Oryzias latipes: one gene and its partners. The protein of the gene in region 3 interacts with the protein of the main gene of each other region in a pairwise test. Links are inferred from orthologs where the notes say so. Each region holds a gene or a part of one and is shown on either strand. Other genes may lie near its edges. The genes, in order: srebf2, dr1 and nfyc.

Region 1 (10,540 bases), on a different chromosome or scaffold from region 3:
ATGGCCTCGTTAAGCGTTGTTATGAATGAAGTAATGAATAGTTGGTGTTTTAGGCCTTCGTGTTTGAAGCTAATTGTTTGACTTTTGTGTGCAGAACCGTCCGGAACCGCGGACAGCATTTATGCTAGTTCACAAGATAGAGGCGCGTGACGCTAACCCAGAAAAACCCACCAAGTTCTCTCTCCCTTAATCACTAAATCACTGTAATGAAAATAAAAGAAAAACGAGTCTACCAATCAAATTTAGAGCCTCGGTTATTTTAGTGCAGGATAAGCTAAATGGTGTACTCCATATGTGTAATTATTGGAGTATTACTTTGTGTAATGCAGTTATTGAAACAAGAAAAAAACAAAATTTCTGCATTTTTTTCCAATTAAAGTGTAGAAATGCTTCAGCTGTTTTCACAAACTAAGTCAGTATTATAGCTGGTGTTTGTTTCTGTTGGGATTAAGCTTTTATAAGACAGCTGTGAAAATGGATGAACTATTTTACAAAATAAAAATGTCTCTTCTAGTTTTTCCTGCAGGTGAACAGAAAGTGAAAGAAGAACCTGTTGACATGGAGGTGGACGAAGAAGGTAAAACCTTAAGCAATGAGGAAGTCAGACTCGTCCTCATTGGGAAGACTGGATCTGGGAAAAGCGCGTCTGGGAACACCATCCTGGGCCGCAAGCAGTTCCTGTCGCAGATCAGCGCCAGCTCTGTCACACGGATCTGTGAGCTTGGTAGCGCTGAGGTCATGGTAGAAGAGGACACAGAGGAAGATGGACTGGCTGCCAAAAAGGAAAGTAAGAGGAGAATTACAGTGGTGGACATGCCTGGTTTTGGAGACACTCACCTCACTGAGGAGGAGACTCATGCAGAAATAGCCAAGTGTATTTCCATCTCTGCGCCTGGTCCTCATGCTTTCCTCCTGGTTGTGCCAGTAGGACGATATACAGACTGTGAGGACCAGGCTGTTTGCCAGTTGATCAAGATCTTTGGAGAAGCTGCTGTTCTTCATCACACCATCATCCTTTTCACTAGAGGGGATGACCTGGAAAACATGACGATTGAAGATTATCTGGAGACTGCACCAGCTGGCCTCAAAGCTCTGATTGCAAGGTGTGGAGGAAGATACCATGTCTTCAACAACAAAGATACCAACAACTCAGTGCAAATACAGAAACTACTGTTGAAAGTGGAAAAATTGGTTAAGCAGAGTAACAGAGGGTTTTATAGTAATGAGATGTTTTTAGAGGCAGAGGCTGCCATCAGAGACGAGCAGACGAAATTGCTAAAGGAGCGAGGGCCTGCAGATGATTCAGATCAGGACGAGAATACACTACCAAAACGAAGAAAACAAGATTTGGAGCCAAATCATAGAGAGGAATCTGGTTTTAGGGTGGAAAGGTGGACAGAAGAAAGAAGAGATAACCCCTTTTCTCCTCTGAGAGGAAATGTTAGAGGCCGACATCAGGGTGGGAGCAGGTCGGTCAGCCAGCGGCGGACTCTTCGTTCATCCTTGGGTCGCATCAGAAGGGAAGCGGCTCTTTCTCCAAAGGTGCTGGAGAAAATTAAGATCCTGGTGGCCTCTGGGGCCACAGGCATGGCAGTGGGGGCTGCATTTGGAGCTGCCGTGCCGTTAGCTGCTGCAGCTGGAGTCTCTCTTGTGGGCAGTTCTGTTGGTTTTGCTGCCAGTCAGCTTGCTGGAATGTCGGTTGCAGGAGGTACGGGTATTGGGAAAGCGGTTGGTGCGATTGTGGCTGCAGCCTCAGGAAAAACTGCTGTGGCGTTAGGTGCAGCTACAGGTGTGGTTGTGGGCGGGTCCATCGGAGCTGTTGCTGGTACTGAGGCTCTCGGCCCTCAGGAGGGCGCCCTAGATGCCCTTCAGCAAGTCAGTTTAGTAGGAGCGTCTGCTGTGGGGGTTGCAGCAGGTTTAGGTTGCACCTTGGGAGCTGGTGCAGCTTTAGGTGCAGCTCTGGAGGGAAGCAGCTTTAGTGCTGCAGCTCTCAGTGGAGCTGAAACTGCAGCTGTCGGAGCAGCAGATGCCGGCTCTGCAGCTGCAGCTCAGCTAACTTCAGCTGTGGCAGAACATGCAGCAGGCTCTGCTGGAACCATATCTGCAGGGACTCATCAGGGCACCTTTGCTGTGGCTCAGGATTTAGCTGCAAATGTTCCGGTGGTTGCTAGGACTGGCAGTGAGCTACAAGGATGCAGAGTAGCTACAACTTCTCGCCTTTTGAACGCAGTGGCTGAGATTGGAAAAGCTGCAGCAGGCTTCGCCCTGGCTGGAGGTCTGGTTGTGAAGGTGGTGAAGGAAAAAGTCAGAAGTTGTACAGGAACAGCAGGAACCAACTACTCTGAGAAATCATCCTATGAAGTCTACTGGAACAAATAAATTCAAGCTAGGAGTCCAATTTTATGCAGTGGAATCATATTCATTTCTTGTGTACATATGATAAGTACATGCAGTGGCTTTCTCTCACTTTTAAGTTTTCAAATTGTTAGTAAGTTGAAGTGATTCACTAGAAGCTGTTTGCTTGAAACAAACAGAATTTGTACCCCAAAAAAACTATAATCTGAAGAGATTTTGGTTTGCTATTTAGATAAATACAAATATGATCAATATTATGTGTAATCATGTCATGAAAATAAACTCAAGGAAAAATAAACACTTGATTATTTGCACTCACAGATGACAGTGGGTGTTTGTACTACACTGTCTAACATTTATTATATAGCCCAAACAGGAGCTTTGGACTTCTGTTCCTACCTCTGGTTTGGACCATCTAGAACCAGGAAATTATTTTTAAAATTTATTATTCTTATGTTTCCTAACAGATAAACATGCACTTCTTTAGTTTTCCTACATTAACGATTATGTATTTTTCAAATGACTGATTTAATTCTGTTTACCAACTGGCATTTACCGTTAAGTGTTTTTTGTTACCATTTCTCCACATAATGGAACAAAAGTATTTTAAGCACAATATGCACTAAATAATAAAAAGTATGTAAAATGACTTGAATGTATGCTGATTTATTTCTGTTTTTTGATATAAAACACCTTAAACCTGTCTTCTAATGTTCTATTTCTAAAGGCTTTTGCCTCACATCAAGAAGGCCCCCGGCTGGGAGACCTAAAACAGAACATCAATGGAGGACCTTTCTGTGTTCTCCCAGGGGACTCCAGCTTCCTCCCACTGCTTCATAGGTTAATTGGTGACTCTAAATGGTACCTAGGTGTGAGTGTACATGGGTGTGTGATGGCGACAGACTGGCGACCCGTCCAGGGTGTCCCCTGCCTTTGCCCACAAGTAGCCGGGATAGGCTCCAGCAGTCCAATGACCCTGAAAGGGATAAAACAGTAAAGAAGATGAACGAATAAATAAAAATAATAAACAAATAATTCAAAAAAAAAAATCTGGAGTCAAGTGTACCACAACATTGCAGTTAGATGTTTCTAATTTACTTGCAGTTGAACCTGAGCACTATATCCACTAAGGTTTAAATGAGGAGGCTGCATGGCAGGTTAGGATGAGCTGGACGTTGTGAGGGAACACAGCTAATTATGAATGGGAAGGCTGCTCAAATGAACTTCTCACACTGCAGATTTGTAGACTTACGGTACCTGTGACTGGGTGAGTTATTGTGCTGATGTAGCACCGATGCTTTACAAGCGAGTAAATGTGCGAAACGGTATTTACACGCAACACAAAGCAGCCAAATGGTGAGGTGACAGGATAAACTCTACCGCTCTTATATTTTAGACCCTTTTTTTTGCCTTTTTTATTCTTCATGTATATATACAAGCTTGTTGTTCAGTCCTTTATTAACTGTTGAATACTGCAAAAAAAGAACACATTTAAATGTTAAATACAAGTTTTATATTATTTTAGGTTTTACAAGCATTAGTTTCTTTAAAAATACTTATTTAAATATATGCGTTTTTATCATTTAAATATTTTATTAAAATAGAATTCAGAAAATGGTTAGAATTCAATAATTAAATGACAAAAGTTCCACATATTAACAGAAAATTTGATTTTCGCATAAGTAAATATTTTAAGATTTAAGTTGAGCTTATTTCTATCGCTGCTTTTAATTACAGTATTAATGTAAACTCATAAATAGTAACCGCCTGACGAATCAGACTCTCCATTGCTCCTGTTTCCTTTATAAAGACAGGGGGCGCGGTTTATTCAAATGACACGCAGGCTTCTGATGGTTGACGTGCTATCAGACCACGGTAAATCCCGCTCTGTCATTGGTCACTGATGACTGGTCCCATGACAAGAACAATTAGGTTTCCACCAATCAGATCCCGGCTTCAGCTCCGGAGTATGTTTGTGAATGACGTAATTAGCGTAAAACAAGATGGCGTCGCCTTGGCTGTAAATCGATGTAAAAGTGTTTATCGGAGTAAAAGTCAGCCTCTTTTGGCGGTTTATTGTTGTGTTACGACTACTTCGATACGGAACAAATATATCTAGCCGGTAGCTGAGCTGTAGGCAGGGCCCCTTCAGAGGAGGCGGTGGTTTGTGAGTGTCGTGTCCGGCAACCCCCGGCGGGAGAGTGCCGGAGAGCTGCTGCTGTCAGGATGGACACCGGAGAGTTCATCTCCACCGTGGAGAACATGGACCCGAGCTTAACGGAATTAGGGGACGAATTCACTTTAGGAGACATTGACGGTGAGTTCACTGGGTTTTGTCAACACACTCAGGTGTTGTTATTATTTTTTAATTATAGTAAGTGTCCGTCTTCCACATATGTTCTAAGCCTAGAAAACTAAGATATTTCAGTAGCTCTTAACACACAGGGTTTATTATTAATTTAGTTTGTAGCTACGTTTATTTTTGTGGGAAATACACGTAAACTTGTCTCTGCTTTTCCGTTTCCTGTTGGATTCATTCAATATTTTACTAAACAAAAGCTATTTTTCGTTATTTGTTAAATTAAAGGTGCAAAAAAAAAAAGCTAGAGATTAAAAATGACTAGAAATTCACCCAAACTAGTGTCATTTTTCAAAACTGACGTTTTTTTAATGAGGCAAAGCGGCTGTCGAGGAATACCAGTCAGTCAAAACTGAGAAAGCATCACCTGTGTGTTTATTATTTATATAAAACATGAAGGAAGATAGCATAAAAATTATAATATAATATTAGCAGAACATAGGCTTCTATTGGTAAAGCAAAATGAAAAATATTTAAAGAAAGAACAAGACAGTTGAAAAGGTTGTGGTCGTTATTTTCCAGCTTTATTATGAAGGAATTACTTAAGAATTGCACTGATGTCTGCATTCCTTGCGTTTTTTGATAGGTAAGACAGATGTGTTGTTACTATTGTCAAAGGCAAATCTGTCAGAGGGTAAAAGGACAGAGCTTTTGGTTGAACACTAGTCACCAGATCCCCATTAGTGTGGAATCTCATTCAATGTCACCAGACTGGACTGATGAAATGTGGGTGTGTTCTACATAGAGAACTATAGAATGGTACTAGGTGTATAACATTATTATGAGGCAGAGACCATCAAGATGCAGTGAGAAACTGCTCTTTTATTTTGAAATTCTGTCATTTTGGTTTTTGCTTCAATGCAAACTGGTGAAGAAACATTAAAGCACCCACCAGCAGAACATCTATCATTGAGTTAAAACAAACAAACCTTCTAAAGCTCTCATCCCTTACATGCATTTAAATTCTCAAAGCCTTTTGCTCACATTAGAAGTCATTTTTTGTTTTTTGATTGTATGATTAAATCCTTGGCTTCCCTTCCCTGTCTTTTAATCTTTTCGACTGTTGGTTACATAACGTATTTTCTTTGCTCTCAGCTCCCCCTTTTGATGGATTTACTTTGTGTCTGCTTGTTTAAAGCTTTGGAGGCTCAGAGAAGTGTTGTCCCGTCTGCTGCACAGTACGGATGAAGACGAGCATGTCTGCATGAGAATGCGTTCAAAAAACTGCTTTATGTCTAACTTTCACACCATTATTGCGTTTGTTGCACCTCTTTAAACACACGCTCAGAGATGAAGTTGTTTATTTTAAGACACAAAGGATCATTGCTTTATACGCTTTGTTTACTGTCTGCGTTCCCCCGGCAACAACCAAAAAAAGGGCAAACAACATTTTTCCGATGTGCCACAGGTGACCGGCGGAGTCTGAGGACTCACTGCCCATCGTGACATTTTCTGTAGGAGTAGGAAAACAAGTTATTTTAAGATCAAATGATGCTACAAAGCCATAAAATTGCAAACAAAATGACCAGTTTTAAAGATATAGAAGAAAAGGACTTCTTCCAAATGCTTTTATAAATTGCAGATCTTAGCCAGATTGTCTTAAAATGATTAATTTATACCTTAACAGAAGCTTTGTCATCCTTCTTATTAAAAAAATCATTTGAAGGATTTGTTTGTTGGACTTTCAAAATGTATGTGATCCTGCTAAAAATGAATTTCCTATATTTAGATTATAAAATTTACATTATACATTTATTAGAAACACAAACTGCTGTCATTTGTAAAATATTGATTCAACAAGATTTTAAAGCTAACATTTGTGAAATACTCTGTCAGTTTAAAGAATTTATGAGATTTATTTAAACAAGATTATACTTTGATTTAAAAGTTGTTTTATTTTTTACAATCTTGTTTTGTATTTTGGCCCAAATTAGCTTATTCATGAAACAGGTTTTACACAAAGCAGTTGTTAGATTATTCAAAAAAGGTGAAAGTTGCACTTTTAAAACTGTTAATGCTTTTTTGCATTTTAAATATTTTTATTCTGTTTTTGTTAATTTGCTCATTCTGGTCCCAACCTCCAAATTTCAGTGTGTCTGTATTCGCACACGTGGTTATAAATTGAAACCCTGTTACGGAAGCATATTTTTAATCCTCAGTTGTTGTTTTTTTTCCAAGAAACTTGATTGAAGGAATATTTTTGAATAATGGCATGACAAACAGTGAAATAAATATTTCTTATTCAAACTGTCATGATAAGGTATGAAAAAAAAATTGCATTCATTTTTTTGTTTGCTGATGATACTGCTGTTTCAGGAAACAACTTCAGAAAGTTAACAGAAAATTGAAGAAAATATTTTCTACTCAAAGTGCTTTCTTCAGAAGGAATTTTGTTGGTCTATTACACCAAATGAAGTTGGTAGTTGTAATTGGTTTACAGCTTTTAAATAAGGTACTTTGTGTATAAAAAAAAATTCACACTGTTTACATTCTGCTTAAATATGTAAATTATGTTTTAGGGGTTGCATGGAGGAAGAGGGAAGCATAGATTGTTGTCCAAACCTTAAAATTCTGTTTATTTTAAATATCTTTTATGTGATAGTTTAACACGTGGGTAGCTTTTGTTCAGCTTTTTTTTGTCAAATATCATGCTCCTGTTCACTCATGGTTGGTTTGTTCCTGTTTGGGTTTGACTTTTAGGTCATTTGAAGAAATGGTAATTCAACATAACTGAATAAAACATTTGAAGTTTTCCCTAAAATCATCGTATAGACGGGTCATTTTATGTTTTAGGAGAATTCCAAGCACAGAAACCATATTTTTTGCTGCACATTGGTGGTTTATTGTTCCCCATCAGCTGTGTATTATTGTATATCAGGACTGTAAAATCTGCAACAAATCGAATTTATAGATGTAAACTTAGCATTTAAAATCTTCATTGAAATCATTTCAAATCTTAATCTAAAATGCAGGTTGTTATTTTTAGTCTGGTTTGTTCTGCTAATGCAAATTAGTCTGTTTAGCCGTACAATTCCATCAAATTACTGTTTATTTCAGCACAAACTAAACATCTAAAGTCACAGTTCTGGCGTCTTTACTAAATGATTAATCTGATCTACAATTTCCATCACAAAGAGAGAAAGTTTTAAATGTGACATTTGCCTATTTCTTTTTAATTAAAGCAATCTAACAATGAATAAATTATTTAGAGAGAGCTGAGTTGTAATGATCAATTAATCAAAATGTTATCAATCTTCTGTCAGAAAATGCAGTAAATATTAACTATTATTTGAAAACAATTGATTCATATAATTTCCTGAATTTCTTGAGCTAAATGAAGAAGTTTCTGATCGTTTTTAATGCAGGAGTTTATCATTTTACTCATGAAAAGTCGACCTTTGTTCAGTTTTATTCACTCGTAAATTTGCATACATTTGCATAAAGCACTTAAACAAACTTTACTTTAAGCAAAACTGGTTCTATGGTAGATTTTAGGCAAACAAATTTAGCACTTTATTATCTTTGTAGATGGCTTAGACATTTCATATATAATTATTAAGTTGGCCCTTTAAGAAAAAACTCTGTGGTGCTGAAAAAAGAGAAATCCCCAAGACGACGGCATGCAGCTCCTCACAGCTGCGTCCATGGATGCCTTGTCGTTTGCATTGTCCTCTTCGCTTCTTTGCAGCAGGACTAAGTTCAAGGCTGCAGAGCAGTAGTGACCCTGACAGTTGAAGCCACGCGCTCCATCTGTGGCGTGGGGACCGTCACTGTCACGAACCCAGAGGCTGTTTGCCAAAGTCTTCAAGCTCCAAAGTCTGCTGAGTTGCACAACAGCAGTTCTTTGACAAATGTTGTGCTGGAATTCTGAAACATTTTTGTTGTGACTCTACTGTGGGTTGAATGAATGAATGAATGAATGAAGGAATAAATGAATGAAGGGAATGAATGAAGGAATAAATGAATGGATGAATGAATAATTTATTTTTTTAAATTGATTCTTAATTATTAGATCCTTGTTTAATTATTTAAAACAGAATTTTTGCAGCTGTAGCTTGAATCGAGTTGCATTTAGTCAGTTATTGTGTTCTGGAGTGGTTCATCAGACACATTTATGGAGACTGGAGTGACCTCCCTCCAACCATATCACCCCACATTTCCTCTAAGGTTAATCAAGGATACCTGTGGAGGCTGCTTTTTATGGATAGGTTATGAACAGTAGCTCTGTTTATGTGTCGGTTCAAGGTCACATCAGGAACACGTGCAAACGCTCTTCGTCTTGTGCAACGAGCTTTATTTAAAACTACCTGGAGGCAAATCCACATTCATTTTCATAGCATTTTGAGCTTAAAGAAATTCCGTTTTCTTTATTTGTTTTAGTTGCATCTAGTGAAGGAAATGGTCGTTCTAATCTGAGTTTAAATAAGTGTAAGGCCTTAATGTTTTGATGCAATGTTTGTTTCTCTTCAGAGATGCTGCAGTTCGTCAGCAACCAGGTGGGAGACTTCCCAGACCTGTTTGAGGACCACATGACCCAAGCGGGCTCCCTGCAGAGCAGCGGCGCCGGCTCCGCCCCTCAAGCAGCCGCTCAGACCCATCAGACTCCACCTGCAGCCGTCTATCAGAGTCCTAACCCGAGCCTGGCTTCCTCCCAGTCTCTCTCTCCTCAGTGTGTACCCCCCACACCTCCTCTCACTCCTGCACAGTCTCCCCCCACCATCCCAGCCGCCACAGTACAGCAGCACCAGGTGACGCGCAGTCCTCCGCTGCTGCAGCCGCGGCCTCCGGCTGTCCAACCCATCCAGCCTCAGCCACAGCCGACGGCCCAACCAACAATCCAGGTAGAAACTCTGGAGACTCTATTCCAAATCCTTCGAGACGCATGAAAGTGTTGTTGAATAACAGACTGTTTGCTTCGCTGCAGGTGCACACTCAGGGCGTTCCTGTGCAGACTCACAGTTTCCCGGTCCACACCCTGGTTCAGACCCACAGCCAGACCCCCCTCCCCATCCAGACGCAGGCTCCACAAACCGTCATGATTGCCTCTAATGCCGGACAGTCCCGTTTTATCCAGAACTCCGTCATTTGCCATCAGAGCCCAGGTCATAGTTTCCAAGGTGACTACAAAGGGAGATGCTGTTTGCATGAAGTTCAGACTTTAAAAGAGTCTCCTTTATATTTCTAGTCCTAGCTGTCCTTATGGGTTGTCGAGCTTCCACTTTATTGTGAAGGAAATGTTTTTTTTTTTAAATCTTAGTCTTGCAGCCACAAATGCAGAGCATCATGACGTCTCCCCAGCTGCAGCCAGTAACCATTCAGCATCAGCGCGTTCTGACGCCCACTGGTCAGACCATCCAGACTCTCTCCACAGCGCCCACCACAGTGCACACCATGCAACAGCAGGTGCAACAAGTGCAGCAGGTGCCGGTAAGTAACTCCTCTGTTGTAACCAATAGGAAATATGTTTTCCTGTTTCACTCAGGGTTGGAATTTGTTTCCCTCCAGGTTCTGGTCCAACAACCTCAGATTTTGAAGACGGACTCTCTGGTTCTCACAACCCTCAAACCAGATGGAACACAGGTGTTGTCCACCATGCAGAACCCTGCAGGCATCACCACCCTTACCACGCCCATCCAGAACACCGCTCTCCAGGTCCCGGTACATCTAGCACAGACCTCCTGGGTAAAATGCAGATGTTGTCCTTGAAAGTTTCGGCTGAACGCCTGATTTCTGTCCTCAGACTTTGATGGGAAGCAACATTCTGACCACCGTCCCGGTTATGATGGGAGGAGGAGACAAGCTGCCAATCAAACAGCTACAGGCAGC
Region 2 (10,514 bases), on a different chromosome or scaffold from region 3:
AGTTAATCACAAGATGTTTTTGTTTTACTCTTTCTGTGCAATTGTACTTTCATCATTCCAGTTTTCCATCACACACAAGTTTGATCAAATATAATTTTCTAACCTTGTACTTTTACCATGATATCAGATACTTTCTTCATCTTCAGTTCACTGCAACACAAAACTAGCTCTTATCTGCTTTAATCTGCCTTGATCAGCAGCACTATGTGTATACTACACTTCACGGTAATCTTCAGGGCAGGTGCATGAGGCTCTGCTGAGTTGCAGGCCTGAGGATTACGGTAAGGTCTTTAAGATTGCCTCCACATCCAGTCTTTTATTCTCCTCCATCCTTACCTGCTGCAGCTGCAAGACGAACAGTAAAAGCGGGAAAATGAACCAGAAGGTGGTCCTCATAACTGGCTGCTCCTCTGGGATTGGGCTCGCTTTGGCTTGCCGCATTGCAAAAGATGAAAAGAAAAGGTTTATGGGTAAGTTTCAATGATTTAGTGTGAGCCTAAACTGTTTCTGAAAACATCCTTATTTTAATATTTGTACAATAATATGTTTGAAACAATGACCGCAATATTTAACAGTACACTGAAAACAGGATGTGGATGTTTAACAAATTAATGTTTTAAAAAAGAGACACCATCAGCAGAACTTAAGTCCATTTTTTAAAGTTTGAATATTTGGAGGCTGAGACTAAAAAGCATTTTAACCAGGTTTTAGGGTTTTATTGACGTTCTCCATTCTTGCCTGCTGCAAAAGACAAGAATGATGGAGAATGTTTGTTTACATGGTATTTATTTGCAAAAAATACAATGAAAAGAAATGTTTATATGGTTCTCATTGTAATATATTCTGTTGCTGTATCAAAATTCTGCTTTTATTGTCTCCGTATTAATTTATTACATAATCACTCTGAGCATTTCCAGATCATCTCAATCTGATTCCCTGCATTTATCTCCAAAATATCTAACATGAGCTGATCCTCCGATCTTTTAATTCTTGATCCTACCCGCCCTCTTCACAGAGAACCAATATTACGGGTAAAAATGCTTCCTTTAAAAAAGATTCCACTAACGATGACAAATGTTTTCTCTTTGGTTTATACTTATTCTGTTATCTTATAGGATATTGTTTTTTTTGTTTTTGTTGTTGGAAAGTGTTTTTATAAAGTCACATGCATTTCATCCATCCTTATATACAAGCTGTGGTTGAGTTCTTTCCTTCACTTTGTCCTTCCAGGCTTTGGCATGATGGTTCTGAATGTTGTAAAGATTACTCCACAACTCACTAATGAGGCCAGCCATGGCTCTGGACCCCCCTGAGGGATCTAAAGGATCAGTGTTTTGTCAAATGGGACAATCTGAAATGTGACTGAAGAATTGAATCACCAACCCTTTCTCTGAAAGGCAACTGTGAGCCACAGCCACCCAGGATTATTTCAAATTCAGTCTATGTGGAGTGGACTGTGCTTACACTAGGTTTCTGGTTCCAAGGTGGGACAGATTATTTGGGTTTAATTTCTCCAAACAAAACAATTCTAAAATGGTGAACACCTTTCTTAGCACACCAAGCAGGGGTTAGGGGATACTTCTGCTGCTTAAAAAGAGATCATAGTTACAAGTTTTGGTCAAAGTCTTTGAAAATGACTGTTAATTTTCTAAGGACAAAAGATGCCTGAAGAGCCTCTAAAATCAAGCAGAGGTCATTGTGCTTATTATAAAACTACTTTTATTTAGTGACACAGCAACTAAAAACTGCATCTTCCACTGAATGTTTTTCTCTTGCAGTCTATGCAACCATGAGGGACCTGCACAAGGCTAAGCCACTGATAGATGCGGCTGGTCGGACACTGGGCAGAACCTTGGAGATCAAGAAGCTGGATGTTTGTGATGAGGATTCCATCAAAGATTGTATTGACAGCCTACCAGAACGCAGGGTGGACATCCTCAGTATGTCGACTCTAGGTTCCTTTCATACATGAGTATTGTCTTGATATAAGTGTTATGACGCACCATAACAGACTTATTGAAGTTCTTTTTCGTGCAACATCTTTTGAGCACACTTTGTCAACATGACCCCCACATTTTTATTTCCTGGTAAAAGTAAGCAATGCAGGGATGGGCCTGATCGGACCCATTGAATGTCAGTCTATTGATGAGATGAAGACGGTCATGGACACAAACTTCTTCGGACTTGTGCGATTGCTGAAGGAAATCCTACCCGACATGAAAAAAAGGAAGAAAGGCCACATCGTGGTCATTAGCAGCGTGATGGGCATTCAAGGTGAGGACGGCTGCAATGCCTAGTTGATCATTTGTCTGTGACTCTCTGACCTGTGATGTTCTCTGTTTTAGGGATTTTGTTCAACGACGTCTACGCAGCATCCAAGTTTGCAGTGGAAGGTTTTTGTGAGAGCCTGGCTATACAAGCCTTGAGATTTAATCTCAAGTAAGATACTCAAACACACAAGGACAAAATTGTTAGTAACTGTCTTTTAATAGACACTGTTTACATTGATGTACTTTGGGTTCACCTTTAATATCTATGGAGGTTGTGTTGGGCTCTTTAGTTAATTTTAAGTGACCATTGTTAGGTTTTTTTTTATTACCAATAGAGAAACATCATCAATTTTGTCTAGGCAAATATTGCTAAATATGTATAACAGTGAAACGACAAGACACCAGGTTTTCCTAAACCCCTTTCCAAATTACAAAAAACAGTTTCCAGTTTACACATAATTTAAAATGCCTAGTTACAAAAGAAAACCAAATTTCAACCCCTTTTTTTTTTTACCAGAATCCAAGCAATTGTAATTAAAACTGTGAACTATGTTTTTAGCATCAGTTTGATTGAACCAGGCCCGGTGCTGACAGAATTTGAACGAAAGGTCTATGACGAAGGTGTGAAGATCGATCTCAGCAAAGCTGACAAACCAACTGCTGATATGTTCACAAACATCTACCTGAAGAACTACAAGCAAATCTTTGAAACCCTTGGACAAAGTGCTGAAGACATCGCAGAGGTACACAGCCCCCCAAACATGCTCGTGTGTCAGTTATGTCATGTGTTTTGACATTCTGAAGCAAAGTTCTCTTTTGTTTTAGTGTTGTTGATTTTTTTGCTGTGTGTTTTCTTCTCAGCACACACTAAAGATCATCACCATGGAGAACCCGCCTTTTCGCCATCAGACAAACACACTTTACACCCCCATGACAACACTCAAATATGCCGACCCCAATGGTGACCTTCCAATTGACACATTTTACAAGATGGTGTTTGAGCACGACAAAGTCTTCAACGCTAGCCTTAACTTCCTCAAACTTCTGCGCTGGAGAAGTCGCAAGAGTTTCACCCTGGAAAAAGACAAGAACTGAGTGTTTCAGGATTTTAATTTCAAATGCAAAATACATCAGTGGTTCAGAATTTAAAATTACATTTTGAAAAGCCTTCTACAGAAGTAGTATTTGAATTGAGAGAGTATATGTATTTGAAGGCAATCTTAAATAAAAAAGGTTTGAGAAGTGTGTAAATTTTGATGCATGAGAACTGCTTAAACAGTTAACACAGTGGCGAATTCCACTGTGTTAATTAAAATTCACTTTAAACATGTTTAAATCCCACTTCTACCATCTTTTGATCTATTGTAAAATTGTTCCCAGTTATATTTTTCTGTTGCTCTCAATAAGCTGGCTAGCTTCTGTTAAAAAATCCAAAATTATTATTTAAACGAATTAACTAACACTAACAACAATATTTATCATAATTTCAAAGGAAGTTCTATTTCTTTATTAATTTTTCTATGCCACTAAATAAAGATCATTGTGAGAGAAACTACTGTTTGGCATTTTGAAATGTTTGTCTTTAGAAATTACATTAGATCAAGTTCTACAGGTAGAACTTGATTTAATGTATATTTACACTTTTTGGAAGTGTAAATATAACTTAAAAACAAAATGTTCACACATGGCAACGGGGCAACTCTAAGTCAGATAAAACAAAGAATAGTAGGGATGTAACACTTAATTAATTTATTTATCCAGATCAAAGTCTGAGACAAGTTGTTAATCAAATCGATAAATACCATAAGATCATTTCAAAATTAAATTGACTATAATCTTTACTGAAAAATACCATTTGGATTGAGGCATTGTAGGTTTATTTTACTGTAACTTAAAAATGACCACGTGCATCACAGTGGACAACACACACACACACGAGATGACAGCAAAACACTTTTGATTTAGCAAAGACGTGACCAAACAGTGTGGTAGAATGTTCTGATAATGTTCCATTTGTATTATTTTTTATGTGGAAAAACAACAGTAGGCAAAACTTTATGAAACTAAAATGTGAATGGATTTGACATTGGTACTTGATTACTGGCTTGTTTGTACACATATTTAATTTACACTTGATTATCTTGAAAGAAATACAAGGAATGTGGAAAAACTTCACCTTGCACTGTTAGTACCCAGGTATTTATCTCTGAGCCACATTGGTTGAATATTTGGCTGAAGATGTTCTGGATCAAAATAAGGTCAGTGAATCGTAATAAATTTACTGGTTCACTATGATCTAAAATTAACTATGAATCATATCAGCAACCACAAATTATATGAATCAAATTATTCTTAATATTAATGTTACAACTGCTAAAAACAATGCATTTGTAGATACATACTTTTTTTTTCTTCATTTAAAATAAATATATTTCCAAAAGTAGGCAATCTTAGAAAAATCAGAGATAATAGTTTGGTTTTGTAACGAAAGAAAAAAAAGATAATTACATCTGTAGCTCCCTGCGGAACAATTTCCAATCATTTGTTGTACCACCCGACTCCATCCTGGTGGGCACCGGAAATTGTTATAGCGCACACTCGGAGCCAATCAAAAACGCCCTTTGTCTGACGTCGTAACCGGACACATTTCAGCTAATGTTTGTACAGTACACAACTCCAAATTATAAACCTAAACAAAACATCTGCAATCAAATTTTGGTCAAGTTCAGGACTTACATATAAATACTCCAATTATTTACGAGTAGAACTGACTATAATTCTTGCGCTTCGTAAAGCAAACAGCTCCGCTTCATCTGCGCTTAATTGTTAGCTTAGCTTAGCCATGCTCTCCGCTTTCATTGGACTTGTGTGCTGCGTCTCAGTTTCGCCACGGACGACGGATATAAGGATATAATTTTTCTTCCCCCTCCCTTTTTTTACTGTAAGCTTCAGAGCAATCTTGGACATTTATTCGCCGATTAAATACGATATAGGAGCGCCGCTCAAGCAACAGAACCTGCTCATTGTTTGACATTTGGTTGGTAAGCTAGCCAGTGGGCTAACTTAGACTAGCTCGCTTGGCAACATTTCCATCGATATTTTCTTGAACCGTTATCTGTCTACTGTAACATGGACATAGAGAAGACAGTGAACGCGTGATAAATCTTCTCGAAGAAGCGGAGTTCCACTATTCTGTTCCTTTCCCCCCTTTTTTCATCACTATGGCTTCCTCGTCTGGAAATGACGACGACCTCACCATACCGAGAGCAGCTATCAACAAAATGATCAAAGAAACTTTGCCTAACGTACGGGTGGCCAACGATGCCAGGGAGCTTGTGGTCAATTGCTGCACAGAGTTCATCCATCTTATTTCCTCCGAGGCGAATGAGATCTGTAACAAATCCGACAAGAAGACCATATCTCCAGAGCATGTCATTAACGGTTGGTTCTCATTTACATGTATTTACCACCTCTTTAAATATCGCTCGTCCTTTATGTGGGTGGGTGTGTGTGTGTGTGTGGGGGGGGGGGGGATGCAAAGGAGCACGGATCCTCCTGCAAGCTTCACATCATAGAAAGTGTAGTTTCAACCTCGTGTTTCTGCACCACAGCCCTCGAGAGCCTTGGTTTCGGCTCGTACATCACAGAGGTGAAAGACGTGCTGCAGGAGTGCAAAACGGTTGCTCTTAAGAGGAGGAAGGCCAGCTCTCGACTGGAAAACCTGGGCATTCCGGAGGAGGAACTCTTGAGGCAGCAGCAGGAGTTATTTGCCAAGGTCTGATCTCAGAAAACTGCACCTTCAAATGTGGCTTGAACACCCACAATAATATTAACCTACAGATCATGATGAACACGGGCACACAACTTGTACTTTTCATTTGAGGTACAGAAGGGCTTGGTTTTGTTAACATTTTCAAAAGTTTCTAAACTGGTCATTCCATTTAAGGATATCAATCCCCTTTAAGATTGGATGCAAACAAATTTAGGTGTTTTAATAGAAAATACTTAACTAAGCTCATAGAGGAAGTATTTAAGATGAAAAAAAATCTTTTCCTGTCAAGTATTGTAGAAATGAAGACATGTACACACAAAACAATTTCAAATATCATATAGGCATACACATTTAAATCAACCTGAATGTAACTTCCTCTTTGAGTTATGCTGATTGTCCTGAAACAAAGCACTCTCTGCTCATTCAAAGTAAGTTAATGTGGCCCTTTCAGCTTTAACTGACAGGCCATGGTGTGTTTTTGCTAAAGGTTTTTTACTTTAAAGACCCACTCAAATAAAATATCATGTTTTTGGTGTTTTCTAAAATCTTCTTGTGGCATTTTTCTGATGATGGAAGACGTATCATAAGAAAAACAAGCTTCATATTACATTTCTGAGCATTTCTTCATTCAAATAGTTCTGAGTCAGGAGCAAACGACAAAATGCTGTGTGGAAAAAGCTACAATCGGCGGGCCACAAGCTTCCCTCTCTGCTCCATTCTGATACATCCTCTTGCAGACAAATGCATCCATGTACGTCTTTTTCCTCGTCTTAACAGGCTTCCGACTCAGCTATACAGCTGGAAATCCAATATTGCTTATCATTTTTGTCGCACTGGTAAAGTTAGGTTGGGGGTTTGAGGGGCTGTAAGCTAGAAAAATGCTACAAGAACATGTTAAAAACACCAAAAGCATGATTTTTATTTGAGTGGGTCTTTAAGGTCAGAGAGATGTATTTTGTTCACATTCCTTTAAAAAAAACATTTTGTTCCTATGTATTGCTTTGTTTGATTTGCTGCGTTGTATTTGATATTCATTTAATAAATATCCAACAACACAAGATAAACCTTTTTGAGAAGTTACATGTACGGTATATATTTAAAAAATTACCAAAAACTATTATTTCTGCAGTAACCGGCCGGACTCACTGCAGGTTGCCATGAGCTTGAATGGGTAAACCTGAAGTGCCACATTGTGTCAAGCACTCATGATAGAATGTGCGTCTTCTGCAGGCGCGGCAGCAGCAGGCGGAGCTTGAACAGCAGGAGTGGCTGCAGATGCAGCAGGCTGCCCAGCAGGCACAGATGGCAGCAGCATCTGCAAGCGTTGCCCAGCAGGCGGGCTCTTCTCAGGATGAAGACGAAGAGGACGAAATGTGACCCCCCCCCGCGACCCACTTTACTGTGTTTGAATTTAACGTTAGGAAAGTTTTGGTACACAAATCTCAGTTTTGCCATGAACAGGGACTTAAAACATGTTTGTGTACTTGAAATTTAGAAAGCTAAAGAAAGGGATGCGAGGGGAGAAACGGCCCCACATGCACATTCAAAGAAGCGTTTTTACCGGAAAATGGTAAAAATGGAAAGGCTGTTTGCGAAGTTTTTCATTAAATTTATATTCCCCTGGGTTTTTTTTTTCACTTTTATGTTCATTGTTAATTTATAGATTTTTCTTTACGTGTTGAGAGCACGTTCAAAGAGCAGACTTTGTGACAGATAAATTCACAGCAGATCTTTGCTCCTTCTGATACGGCATTAGAAGATCTGTTCAACTCATCCTTGGAGCTCAAACATGTTCAGAATTTCTGTTCAGGAATTTCCAAGCATCTGCTTTCTGCATCTTTCTCCCTTCTCGGTTTATTTGTCAAAGTGAATTCATGCAGCATGTGTGTTGGTATCTGTGCATCAGCGTCTGCCTGTGTACTGTGTAGGGTTAGATTTAGAGAGCATAGGCTAATGGCAGGACGCTAATGCCCATGTACTGCTGTTTGCTACATAGAGAACTTAAAAGGCATTATTGTTTAATTTTTAGATCATCCAGGCACTTCTTTTCCTTTAAACACCCACAGTATTGATAATTAGCAGCACCTACACATTTTTGTTTCATAGAACCAAAGATGGGGGATTTAACTTTTGTAGTTTTCTTTTCCTTTTTTAGATGTAGGTGCTGCTTAGTCAAGATCTTCTAAAAACCATGTCAAAGACAATAAACTTGAATCTCTGTGAGGCACTTGGGTGTCTAGGCTTACATTGCAGTTTCCATTCTAGTTCTTTTACAACATAATATATTTCCATCAGGAATTTGGGACATCTTTGGAAAAAACCAACCACCTTATTGTGATATGCATTTATTGTCTGTTCTACAGAAATGTATTCTTTCAACAATAAAATAATTTTTTATAGACTTTTTTTTTTTTAATCTTCTAAGATGTACTGTTCTGCTTGCTTACATTATTATGGTATCTTTTTCTATGACCTTTGTATAATAAAGCAAAGTACATTCTGCTTCATGCTTCCTAGGAAAAAAATAACAAAATAAAAATAAACTACTACATTAGTATATTTCTATCAACTAAAAGTGGCAGAACTGTGATCAAAAACAATGTTTCTGAAGTATAGACTAAATTAAACTACTGCTCAATAATTAGGTTAAATCTTGATTTTGAGCTTAATGCATTTTGTGGAAACAAAATGTGGAGTGGTAGAGTGGTCGACATATGAGTGGAAGGTCGCTGGTTCAGTTTCCGCTCTGCTTGGCGATGTGTTGAAGTGTCCTTGTCACCACTGAAACCCACATTGCTCCCCGGAGGTTATATGTTGGCGCCAGAGTTCAGCAGCAGAGCTGCTATCAGTTTGTGAATGGGTCTCTGACTGTAAAGGGCTTCTTAGAAGGTAGCAAACCGCTATGTAAATTACCCTCATATACTATTTACGTCACTTGATCCCGGCATGCTTTTCAAAAATCCATGAAAGCGAAAAACAGTTTTACTCTCAAACCTGACCTTTACTAATGAAATAAAATGTTTCTATTGCAACATTTACTGTAGAGTGAATGACAGCTGTTTATTCTGCTGTGGAGGCCACCATAGGCTGTTTTTTTGCTGCTAAAGTTTATGGAGCCTTATGCAATTGCACCTGTAACCCTTGTGCTATCCTAGGCACTTTAACATTGGGAGTTGGGTCATGTAGACCCACTATACAGTGCGCTAAATCTTTTTTCTTTAATGATTTGTGATCTTCACTGGTGTCCATGGATTACATGAAATCTTTCAACCTTTATCCACCTTTGTCATGGTTGGGAGAACACGTCAATGTAAGGGTGGGGTCATCTAAGATAGCGCAAGGGTTAAGCAGGCATCACCAGTCAGTGCAATATCAATTTGGTTATTGTAGGTGGTCCAGTCATTGCATGTTTTTACCTCAGAAACATCCTAGAACCTAGGGTTAACATTTAGAGTAATCAAATAACCTATGAAGCATGTTTTTGGACTGTGGGAGGAAGCTGGACTGCACGGAGAAAACCCATACATGCATGAGGGGAATATGCTAACTACACACATAAAGGATCCAGCTGGGATTCAAGCCAGAGCCTTCTTGCCATGAGGCAAGAGTGCTAACCACTGTTCCACAGTGCAGCCTGAGCTGGATCTTCTTACTCCATATTTGGTCAGAAAGGGAAACACTGCCCTCATTTGACAATGTAAAGGAACATCAGTTAGTGATAGGGGAGTAATGATTTGTTTTAACAATGATTCGATTCATATCACAATTTCTAGTTGACCATACAATTCATGGTCAATATTCGTTCATTTTGAATAATCCGATTCCCTGACCCAGAATCAACCAGCGTGACTCAGAGATAAAAACTTGCGTACTGAACAGTGGTAAATGGTAATGGTAAATGGCGTATACTTATATGGCGCTTTCTACCCTCTTTCAAAGGCCCAAAGCGCTTTACAGTCACAGTCCCATTCACCCATGCACACACACATTCACACACTGATGGCGGCTCCGCTGCCGAACACTGGCGCCAACCTCCCACCAGAGGCAAGGTGGGGTTCAGTGTCTTGCCCAAGGACACTTCGACACATGGGCGTGCAAGGCGGGAATCGAGCCTGCAATCTTACGATCATGGGTCGACCGCCCTACCGCTGCACCACGGCCGCCCAATGCAGGGGAAGCTCTCCACATTCCTTGCAAGATAATTAAGAGTACATTAAATATGTGAACGAACAAACATGTAAACAATAATTAATATGGTGCTAGTCTTATTAACCCTTGTGCTATCTTAGATGACCCCACCCTTACATTGACGTTTTCTCCCTACCATGACAAAGGTGGATAAAGGTGGAAAGATTTCATGTAATCCATGGACACCAGTGAAGATCACAAATCATTGAAGAAAAAAGGTTCAGAGGACTGCCTAGTGGGTCTAGATGACCCAACTCCCAATGTTAAAGTGCCTAGGATAGCAC
Region 3 (10,349 bases):
GACAAACTTGTCTGTGCTACATTGTTCTAAACTGCTACTGTATGCTATATTAGGACCCACATTGATGCGCATCGTTCCTCGTCGCTGCAGTGCTGCTGTCCTTCATCAGGTCACAGGGATAGAAAATTGACAGGGTTGAATTTCCTACAAACTTCCGTTTGATGTCTTTAAAGCAAACCTTTGCATTTGGACAACTTTAGCAACACACAGCTAAACTAGCTCTTCCTCATTTAGTCGCTCTTCTCCATTAGTTCCTACTCTGTGCCTGAGCGTTTCTCATTTCCTTTGTCTACTAACTTTCACCCGATTGCCCTCACCCAACCTCCTGGAGAAAGTCAATGGCGCTCTGCTTGCAGCAGCTAGATCAGCATTAATGTTCTTCCGCTGGCCTGGTCCCACATCTTTCCACCTCATCCTCATCTCCTTCCTGGTTTCTAGCAGGTCGCACTGAGTGACCGGTAACAGCAATGCTGCTCTGATGTCACGCAAATTTATGTTACCATTTATCTCAAGGATAAAAGCCTTAAAAAAAGACTGTTAAAACTGAAAACATTATCATACTGTGTTTTTATTCTATGTTTGTTAAATTTGTGAAAAGAACCAAGCAGACAGAATCAAAACCATCAGTCAATATCCCCATGGGTTAACATTCAAATCATTTATTTGTACACAGCTTTCATTCGAAATCGCTGCATTGTAAAGTAAATGTGTCCAAAGGTCTGAAATTTCCTATTGGACAGCTTTTTAAAACTCACAGTCCTACAGGAAAGCTGTCTGTCACGCTTCCAAAACGAAAAAAAAGTGCTTAATTCTCCCCATATCTTAGAGGGAACAAATGGCCAAACATTAAAGTCCATTTGTTCCCAAATAGGGAACTATCTGACAACGAAATGCATAAATAACAGTACTGACAGATGCCACATAAAGACGAGCTGGCATGGATACAGCATGCTGGGTAAATGATTTACTCCTAAAAAGAAAGAAAGTGGGGGGAAAAAAGTTCCCAGTCTAAAATTATAAACTACTACCGGTACTTTGATACATGCAATAATTTGACAAATACTGGAGCAAGTTTTTTGTAAATTGAAAAAAAAAAAAAAAAAAAAAAGGAGCGGAGGACACTTCAACAAAAGTAATGATCACTGCGGGCTGCAGTGCAACATTATCCTTTTGGATCTGGCTGTACCAAACTGTCTGACCAAACGGCCCGGTTTAAGTTTGCCCTTGGTTCTGCTTCAGGCAAACTCCAGGAAGTGCTAGTCACTGATCTCCCAAGGTCATTTGACAGAGGGGAAAAGAGACCAGCGAGGGAGGAGGGTGAGAAAGAGATGAAAGAGACGGAGAGAGGGGGGGGGGGGGGGGGGCAGAAATGGACAGGTTTTTCAACTTTCACTGCGCCACTTAAGTGACCCTAACGGTTTAGGACTCCCGCTTTCCAAGAAGGTTTGAACATATAAAACTCAAAACATTGCACAGTGTACATATTAACTGCATTCAGCATTCTTCTGTGGATTTCTCCTCCACTCATCAACATTTCTTTGCTGACGGAGATCCTGCTGGAGACATTCTCACATTCCTGTGACCTTCATCCAACGTAAAGCCCAGTTACTGGCGTTAAAGTAGGCAGGCCTAAAAGGTACCTGCATACTACAAGGAGACTCCACCTGCCAGCCTCCAGGCAGAAGTGTACACACGTGAGAAATACAGAAAGGCCAAGGACGCACACAGCCATTTTGGTCACCTTAACGAAAGCTGATTGGGTGACTTGTTTCCTCAATTTGTTTTTCCCCTCGTGTATCTATAGTTCAGCTTAGGCCACAAATGATATTCAAATCTCATGCAGACAGCAGCCAACCCTGGGATTTGGCAGTAAGAGCTTCAACTTAAGAGTTATTTTTAGTCTCCCTCTCTCAATCTCTATTTTTCCTCTTTCCCCGACGGTGCTCCATTTTATCAAAAGGCACCAACAGAAAGTTTCACTGTAGGCAGCAGGAGAGACAGCGAAGTCGCTATGAAAAAGAGGCATCCTCCGAAGACTCCATCAGAAGAGATCAGATCAAACTATTAGCCTCCGCTGCCCCTGAAGCTGACAGGCTGACAGTCTGTCCCATCTGGGCGTCTAGCGCTGTCAGGGAGGAGGGGCTGTAGGGGGTCCCGAGGTCACTGCAACCAGCTGCACCTCCACCCCTGGGGACCCCTGACACCAACAATGTGACAACACTGAGAGCTATCTGCACAGCTCTTTATATACAACATTTAAGCTTTAAAAGTGATCCTATAACACTCATCTGTCCAGAATGGGGGAAAAAACATTTAAAAAGTAATCAAAATAAGGGTATAAACTGAAAATTCATGGTAGTTTAAAGTCAAAGCAAGAAATGTAAAGATAGAAAGGCTTGACCTTATGTGATTAATTTGACCTCAAAAGAGAAAAACACCTAAATAGGTACTCAATAACAGTTACAGATGGTTTAAGATAAAAAGCATCAATGCTGCAGTGAAGTGACAGTTCAAGGACATGGAAGAAAGATGCACACAACTCCAAGGACAGACTGTCTCTCTGCTACACAGAGTGATGGAAAGCCATCCAGAAATGAAAAGAGAGATAAACAGATTCTTTCTGAAACTCTTTCTGAAACTTTTGCTTGACAGATGTTCCTAGAGTCGTCACTTACCGCCGTGTCCTTCATGGTGAATGATCTGCCCTGTTGGGAGCACAGCAGAATAGATGGAAACAGATAGCCCTGCTCAAATCTCCTTGAGAGCAGCAGCAAGCGCAGAGGTTGACAGAACAACTCTCTCATGCTCCTTCACTTCCTGCAGATCATATCAACACACAAAAGGCTCCACTGGACGTCCCTTTAAAAAAAAAAAACCTATAATCTTGGACACAGTTAAAACCATTGACGCCTCTACCCCTCCCCCTTTCTTCCAATCTCATTTTACACATTGCTCAGTCTCCTTCAAACAGTCCCCTCAACGTCCTCCTGGACACGTCTTCCACTTCTCAACTTGCTGAACATGTGTCTTTCTTTTGTATTAGTTATTCTCGGAGATTTCCTCCACTCTCCTTGGCCACTGTCCCATAAGTTTGTCTTTGAAAGACCCTTGTCAGGTGCAGAAAAGAGGGTGATAAGGGGCAAAAAAAGAAGAAAATCCCAGCAGATTAACATTACAGCGGCACTCCCGACTCACAGACAAAAAAAAATCTCTAGCCTCCTTCCCCTTTAACATTCAAGCGTAATCAATCTAGCATGCTACATGATACTCAAACCCCTCCTTACGCCCAAATCCCACCTCCGCCGACACACAAAACCAATGCCAGGACGGGCTCCTCTTTTCCCATTGAATACTTCACACACCAATCAGCTGTGACTCCTCCCCTCCCATTCCTCTTTCTTTAGCCCAACCCCCTAGTACAGACAGCTAACTTCCTGTTCTAAGTTACCTTGAGCTGCAGGATAGGGGTCAGTGAAAAGAAAGGAGGAAGAGAAAGTAGATACGAAAAGACAGGGGGGGGGGGAGTTGTAAAAAGCTCCTCAGGGAGTGTGTGAGGAAGAGCTAGTGAAGGCTTGCCTCTTCATGGTTTGTTCTCAAGCGGCGTCTACCTCTTCTCCCGCTGGTCATATGGGAAAGAATCCACGGGCTGCTCTCTGACAACTGCTCTCTGCTTATTTACAATGTCAAACTAAATGTCTCCCTACGCTCCGCCTTCGAGCCGCTGCTACAGGCTGGCTGCGGAGTGATGCAGGCGGCCAGGCTACACCTCACTGGCTGAGAGAGAGAAGTGCCAGAATCAATGCCGCATGTTGCATCCACATGATTTAAAGTACAAAAGCATACTAGTCAGCCTCCTTGTCTCATGTGTGTACTCAGGCTCACACGCACAACCACACTAATGCACATTTTGTCCTTGCCTCCTTATTTATTCTTATTTGCTTATTGTTATTATTGTTGCTGGTTTACCTGCAAGTATTAAGAAAATTCACAACACTGTTCGGCAAAAATATTTTGATATTCTGCGTGGACATACATTTAAAAGCTGAAATTAAGGAATATTTAAAAATAAATAAATAACTTGACAGAGCCTAAAAGCCCAAAGTTTGAAAAGTAAAAACTGGACGAAAAATAACGGAATTATTTTATCAATAAAAATGTATCAGCTGATGAGAGAGCAGCTGTGGAAGATGGTGGCATTCCTCTATTTGTGGTTAAACACGACGAAGATTACGAGTGAGAGCTAACAAACACACACATTGTTGTCTTGACCCTTCAGACTATGCTTACAGCAACTTCCACAATTCATACGTCATCACAAAACCACACCAGCAATGTCTGACAATGTCCTTCTTGTGCGCTCCACACTGGTTAAATGTGCGCACGTTCGACTCAAAAACATTTACTTTGAAAGACCAAAGAAGGATTCCACTGCTCATGTGCAGAACTCATGATAGTTGATGCCATATTAGCTAGGTACTAGGTTTCCTAGTACTAGAAACGTGTTCATGAACTCTATGTAAAACAGAAAATAAACTCTAGAAAAGTACAAAAGTACAAGGCTAATGCTGTACTTTGCTGCAACTTAAGGTTTTGAAGAACAGAATAGAAAGCAAACCTGCACCATCAATGAAAACCTGAGGGGGAGGGGAACTGGAAGGATGGAGAAGGACAGAGAGGAGAATTGTTTCAGAATAGGAGGGGTGAAATAAATGAAGGGAGGAAGAGGGAACATGACAGACTCAAAAGAAACAGAGCTAAATGTTCCTTTTTGTAGTTTCACATGGAGCATGAAGACAGGGAAAGGTACTTCCAGCAGCCAGTTAAACATGGAGTCGAGATGTAAAAAAAACCAATTAAAAAAACAATAGATATCAAATGTATTAGCAAGTTTCTTCTATGTAGATGAACCAAAAAAAAAAAAAAAGTCATGACATATGCCAAGGTCACAGAACACATTAAACCTTCCCATGACCTCTGCAGCCATACCAGAAACATTTTTGCTTTCGTTGATGCTTTTTCGAGATAAGCATACACCAAAACAGACGGTGAGTTTGATAAACACAGAAACCCTCGCGGTTAGCCATTCAGCCACAAACATGCAAATACATAACAACCTGGACTCAACTGGTAAAGTTAGCTTAAACTACAGGAAAGACCGTTTTTTATTTGTATTTACGCTGATAACAAAACATCAAAAAGCCTCAAATAATTTAGATCAAAGTGGGTATTTATTACGTAAAATGCAGCACCGCTGCACCTAGCAAAAAGTTATTATAGTATTTCAAAAAGTTTTTTATTTATTTTAGATAAATTGTGCCTCTGACATATTTTTTTAGCATTCCTGCAAACATTTTAGAAGTGCAATTTCACAATTTTACCCACCCAGCGAGTGTCAGATATGTTAGCTTAGAATTTCAGACATAATATTCTCATAAGATTCCTGTTATCCTTTGAAACGATGGTAACTTCATGGAAATTGTACCTCAAAGCAAATTAAATAGGCGGGAGACAACGCTAGGTTTTAGTCCCAACAACGCTGCAATAAATTTAAACCACGGCCGCTAAAATATTGGAAATATTAAATGTGATGTAGTGTTAGCTTAAACATCTCGGCTGCCAAAACAGTTAACGGGGAAAGAGGGCAAACAAAGCGCCGATGGTGAACTTTAGAATGGTCATCCGTGCCTTCTCGGTACCGATAGTGAAGTTAGTGTTAGCACCTTGTAGACGGCTAGTCTTACAAATGTGCGTGCAGTTCGTCGTAATATTAATTACTAAATCGCAAACTAGTTCTGTCATCATGTGAAAGTTTGCAAATCTTGGAAGAAACGGACTAACCAATAAAGACAACGTTTGGGTCTGTCCTTCAGACCAATCAAACCTCGGACTAGATTCCACCAATCAAGGTTTGTAAGGCTAAGCTCGTTCTGAAACTGACGCCATTCGGGGTCTGATAGGAATAGCCAGTGTTCAACAAAACGAATGGTAATGAGAACCAAAATGGCGGACACAAAGCAGTGGTTTCCCAACCGCCGATGATACTTTCAGCGGGCCACCAATAAGCGCCTCAGAGAGCGGGGAGGGAAATGGCGCCTGTGTTCATCACCCAAAACAATCGTCTATTGGTCAAGAACAGCAAATGGAAAAAAGGCCAATTAATTGCCGCAATTTCGACCTATCACGAGTGTACACGGCAAACACATCAATGAAATTTAATTTCTTACTTATGCTCTTTTGCGGCTTCGCGGTGAAGTCCAGTGCGGCGTATTATTTATTTTATTTAGCTTGCAAAGGGAAACAAGATGGCTGCTACCTCATACCGGAAAGGGATGAACGTACGAACGCGATGACGTATAGGTCACGACGGCATCATCCTGATACTATAAAATGCAAAAAAAAACTATAAATGCCAAATAAATTATGCAAATCAAACAGGAAATGCAGGAAAAAATGTCAATCTTAAAAATATGAAACTATGTCTTTTTGAACATATGGTAACACTAATGTGATAAGCTACAAATTATGTAATTTTATTGCTGACCAAAGAAAAATAACGTTAATAAGACATAGTTTTTTTTAATTAGGTTTATAAATAATCTAATATTTTATAAAGTCAACAATTAAATTATTTTAATTCAATGTATTTAAATAGATGAAACTATATTTTTTTAGTGTTTATCATAGTTTTTGTGTAATCTTAACAAGGGAAAGTATATAAATATTTAAAAATGTCCACAAACAAAGAAGTTTATTTCCAGTTGAGGAGCCAGTGTGGAACAGAATACATTTATAACCAAACCAACCAAGCAAAAACTTTTATAAAGATATACAACTATCATGCAGATGAGTAATAAATTCATATTTCTATACTGCATGCATATTAGAAACAGATGTGATTACATGGATGCAAATGTTTTCATTTAAATGTGTCTGTGGGTATCTAGACTTACTTGTACTGTTTTTTTACAAGCACGATTTTTATCACACATTTAATTTCATCTGGATACTTTTGATGACATGTGTTTTCAGTACAACAGTAGGAAGCTTTTATATTTAAGAATGCATAAATGGCAAAATTAAATTAAGTTTTACTCTTCACTTTATGAATTTGAAAAATACTTTTCTTTTTGATGGTGAATCTTTTTATAATTTTTCAATGATTTGCATTTTCTGATTTAACTGCTCAAATACACTGCATCATTAAATTTATGATTGCTCAATGTCATGCTAATTTTACAAAACTTTGACTTTTTTCTCTTGCTGTCCAACTAGTTTTCTATGCATAAATTTAGTATTTTTCCTCGTTTTTCTTTTCTTTTTAATCAACAAAACATAAAACGGATAATTCTGAGCTATTATCTGAAAGTACTTTTGCAGTTCATTACATCCCTGCTCAATAAACTAAAATATCTGGCAATCTCAAACTGAAGCAGCATAATAAATCCCATCTATAAAATAGGATGGAATGTCAAGGTAACATTTTTTTGACTAAAAAACACAAATGTGTCGAGCAATCATTTTTTAATTAGGTTTAGGCCAAAATGCACACATAATTTAAAAGTCAAAAATACATTTATTTTCTTTTTACTTAGTAATTTAACAAAAAAAAGACAGTGGTAGAAGATAGTTTATTGTGACAACAACATAGAAAAAAATTGTGACAAATCATTAAAGCAAAAATAAACTGAATACTAAATACATTTAAGTTAAACTGGCAAAGATACTTTACTGCGACGGAGTTTTAGGGCCACAAAACTAAAAGTAAAATGACGTGATTTTAAGTCATAAATTTCTGAGAAAAACACTCGTAATTTTACAACTTAAAGTGGAAGTGAGCATACGGAGCAGCAGCAAGTGAATGCCGCGTAGCTGCAGAGCAGAACGACTAAACTCAATAAAGCTTCACAAAAGGCTCCACATATTTCATCTTCAAACTAGGCTCCGATAAACAGAAAACTTTGGTGTTTTTTCCTCGTTAATCTACGAGTTTTTTTCTCAGAAATTTACGAGATTTTAAGATGTAAATTTACGAGAAAAAAACTCGTAAATTTACGAGAAAAAGCTTGTAATTTAACAGTTATGACTTTCTTTCTTGTAAATTTACAACTTAAAAGACAAAATTAAAAAAAATATATATATTTTTTGTAAACTGGCCCTAAAACTCCGTCGTCAGTCTAATTTTTTTTTTTCCATTAAATGAGGCATCAGTTATTTTCTAGCCACAAGCTCCAGGAGGGCAGACGTGATCTTATCCAGATTTTTAGAGTAGCTGGGATCCCCGAGTCTCCTGCTTCCTTCTTCCATGAAATGAGGAGGCACACCGGAGTTTCGACTCTCACCAACTCCAGGCTGGTATTCTGAAGGACGCATGGGTTCTTGAAACCTTTCAGGATAAGATGCCAGCTCGTCTGCACAAAACAAGAGAGGAGAACTATTGTTAGCTGTAGAGTAAAACACCCCATTGGCGGTGCCTGACAATAACACAATGGAATTGTTTAAAAAAAAATACAACTAACATGAAAGGTTTGTACACAAGTCAGAATACTATTTGCAGAACTTAAATCTACCCATTCATCTAAAGTGGAGCATCAAGGGGGGGAAAAACACTTTCTTCTGCTCTCTCTCATAGATCAGATCAAAAAGTGGGTGTCAATCAAAAGTTTGATTTACAGGTGAAATTCTGAAGGGGAAGTAACCTGTTGTCCCCTTTTAGGGTCCTTGCAGAAAGCTCCCAGCAGGTGGGGGTGCTGCAGGACTTGAAACGTTATCAATAGAAATGTTTTTATTGTAACAAAAGCAGCTTGTAGCACCATTATCCAAAAGGCAACACTTACTCCTTGATGTCTTGCCTAACACATTAATTTCAGATATTGGTATTGCCAAAAAATAACATTGCGTTGAACTCTGGCATTTTGAAAAAGCTTAAAATGTTAAAATTATGTTCAAATTTAAAAGTTAAGGGTCCTTGCCAGTTTCTTTGAGCCCCCATATCTGAGTAATATTTTTAAAAATATCAAAATAAGATTAAGACATTAAATGAGAAATGTTTTTGTCAATTTGCAAGGATTTATCAACTTCAGAGAGAAAAAAGGTTATTTTTTAATTTTTTTTTTATATTTCTGATAAAAGTCCTAATTGTCTAACCCATTACAAGTTGCTTTAGGAAAACTAATTTCTTGTACCTTCATAACGGGTTCTGACTGATTGCTGTGGTTCCTCATGAGCAGGATATCGATGTGCCTGGTAGTGCTCCTCAGGTATATGTTCACGCTGGTTCCACCCTCTTCTGTGACCGCTGCCAAAAGCAGGGTCCTCCAGTCGTGTGTGATCAAAGCTTTCTCTTGTGTTTCTCTCATGTGGTCCAGGAGCCTGCAGGACCAAAGCAGAGTGACTTTTCTTTTTCCTGAATACCAAAAGAATTTTGCTTTGTGTGGGAATTGAAGTAAATTGGACATTAAGGATTTCATACCATGCCCTTCTCGCGTTTTTTGGCCTGGAACTCTTTCATAAGGGTGGCGAGTTTGCTCTTCAGGAACTCTGCTTCTTCTGAATCTTCAATTTCAACATTTTTCTAAAGGAAACAACGTGACCCAAAAGACTGATCAGGCCATGTTTCATGGCCGTTTCACAAGAACATGATGAAATAAAAACCGTTAGTTGTTTACCAGCATATCAAAGACACCCTCTGATTCAGAACTTCCTTGGTGATAGCCCTCTTTATGATGAGGAGTCTTAAAACAAGAAGAAACTGGTCATTATCATTAACAAAGCAAATGTAAAACATTTAAAAACTTGTAATCTCAAACAAGAGTCACCCGCGATTCTCCATAATGTCCAGAGTATTGGGCTCCTCCTTGCTCTGCTCTCATTGGTCGGGGCTCTTCTCTAGCAGCTGAATATGAAGGTCTACTTGCACCTTGAAACCTTTAATAAAAACGAGACATGAACGTCATTTAATACATGGATTCTACCTGTAAGATTGCATCACCTCTGCACTTACATTTGGCCTGTCATTTCCAGCTCCTCTGGAGTGGCATCAGAGAAGCGACTTTTTCTTTTGGCCAGGCCTTCGTTCATCACACCTCCTGTCAGGAAACGCTTGAAGGGCTCTGGGATGTTAGAAATGTTGGTGGCGACCGGAGCACCTGGGGACTCCTCTCTGCTCGGCCCAGGTTTGTCAAAGGATCTTTCTTGATGCATGTATCTCATTTCATGATGGTAATCTTTGATGATGTTAAACAGCTGGTCTTGGCCTCCTTCACCTTCCAGGGCTGCGGATACGTTCCTTCTCTTGGCTTCTGGTTCACTTGATCCTCGTCTACCAGCTCTGTCAAGACCACCATGCTGTC

What was found.
Region 1: the proteins of nfyc (region 3) and srebf2 interact in binary tests that used the Homo sapiens proteins (3 or more experiments, as listed by UniProt). The link is inferred for Oryzias latipes from reciprocal best matches to the Homo sapiens genes NFYC and SREBF2.
Region 2: the proteins of nfyc (region 3) and dr1 interact in binary tests that used the Homo sapiens proteins (3 or more experiments, as listed by UniProt). The link is inferred for Oryzias latipes from reciprocal best matches to the Homo sapiens genes NFYC and DR1.

The regions. Positions count from the first base shown.
Region 1 is NC_019866.2:19,990,582-20,001,121, forward strand, and holds the start of srebf2 (sterol regulatory element-binding protein 2), read left to right. Parts: upstream 1-4,329; 5' UTR 4,330-4,581; coding exon 4,582-4,672; intron 4,673-9,184; coding exon 9,185-9,555; intron 9,556-9,638; coding exon 9,639-9,831; intron 9,832-9,971; coding exon 9,972-10,141; intron 10,142-10,219; coding exon 10,220-10,372; intron 10,373-10,454; coding exon 10,455-10,540. Other genes in the region: uncharacterized protein LOC101155604, read left to right, coding at 515-2,379.
Region 2 is NC_019862.2:24,026,009-24,036,522, reverse strand, and holds dr1 (protein Dr1), read left to right. Parts: upstream 1-4,873; 5' UTR 4,874-5,491; coding exon 5,492-5,711; intron 5,712-5,881; coding exon 5,882-6,045; intron 6,046-7,272; coding exon 7,273-7,419; 3' UTR 7,420-8,544; downstream 8,545-10,514. Other genes in the region: retinol dehydrogenase 8-like, read left to right, coding at 374-470, 1,779-1,940, 2,095-2,274, 2,346-2,439, 2,830-3,013, 3,132-3,365. UniProt on the Homo sapiens protein: The association of the DR1/DRAP1 heterodimer with TBP results in a functional repression of both activated and basal transcription of class II genes.
Region 3 is NC_019869.2:22,270,047-22,280,395, reverse strand, and holds the start of nfyc (nuclear transcription factor Y subunit gamma), read right to left. Parts: upstream 6,354-10,349; 5' UTR 6,225-6,353; intron 5,859-6,224; exon of another isoform or gene 5,839-5,858; intron 3,691-5,838; exon of another isoform or gene 3,577-3,690; intron 3,216-3,576; exon of another isoform or gene 2,676-3,215; intron 1-2,675. Other genes in the region: uncharacterized protein LOC101158462, read right to left, coding at 8,209-8,408, 9,183-9,369, 9,470-9,571, 9,666-9,731, 9,816-9,924, 10,001-10,349. UniProt on the Homo sapiens protein: Component of the sequence-specific heterotrimeric transcription factor (NF-Y) which specifically recognizes a 5'-CCAAT-3' box motif found in the promoters of its target genes.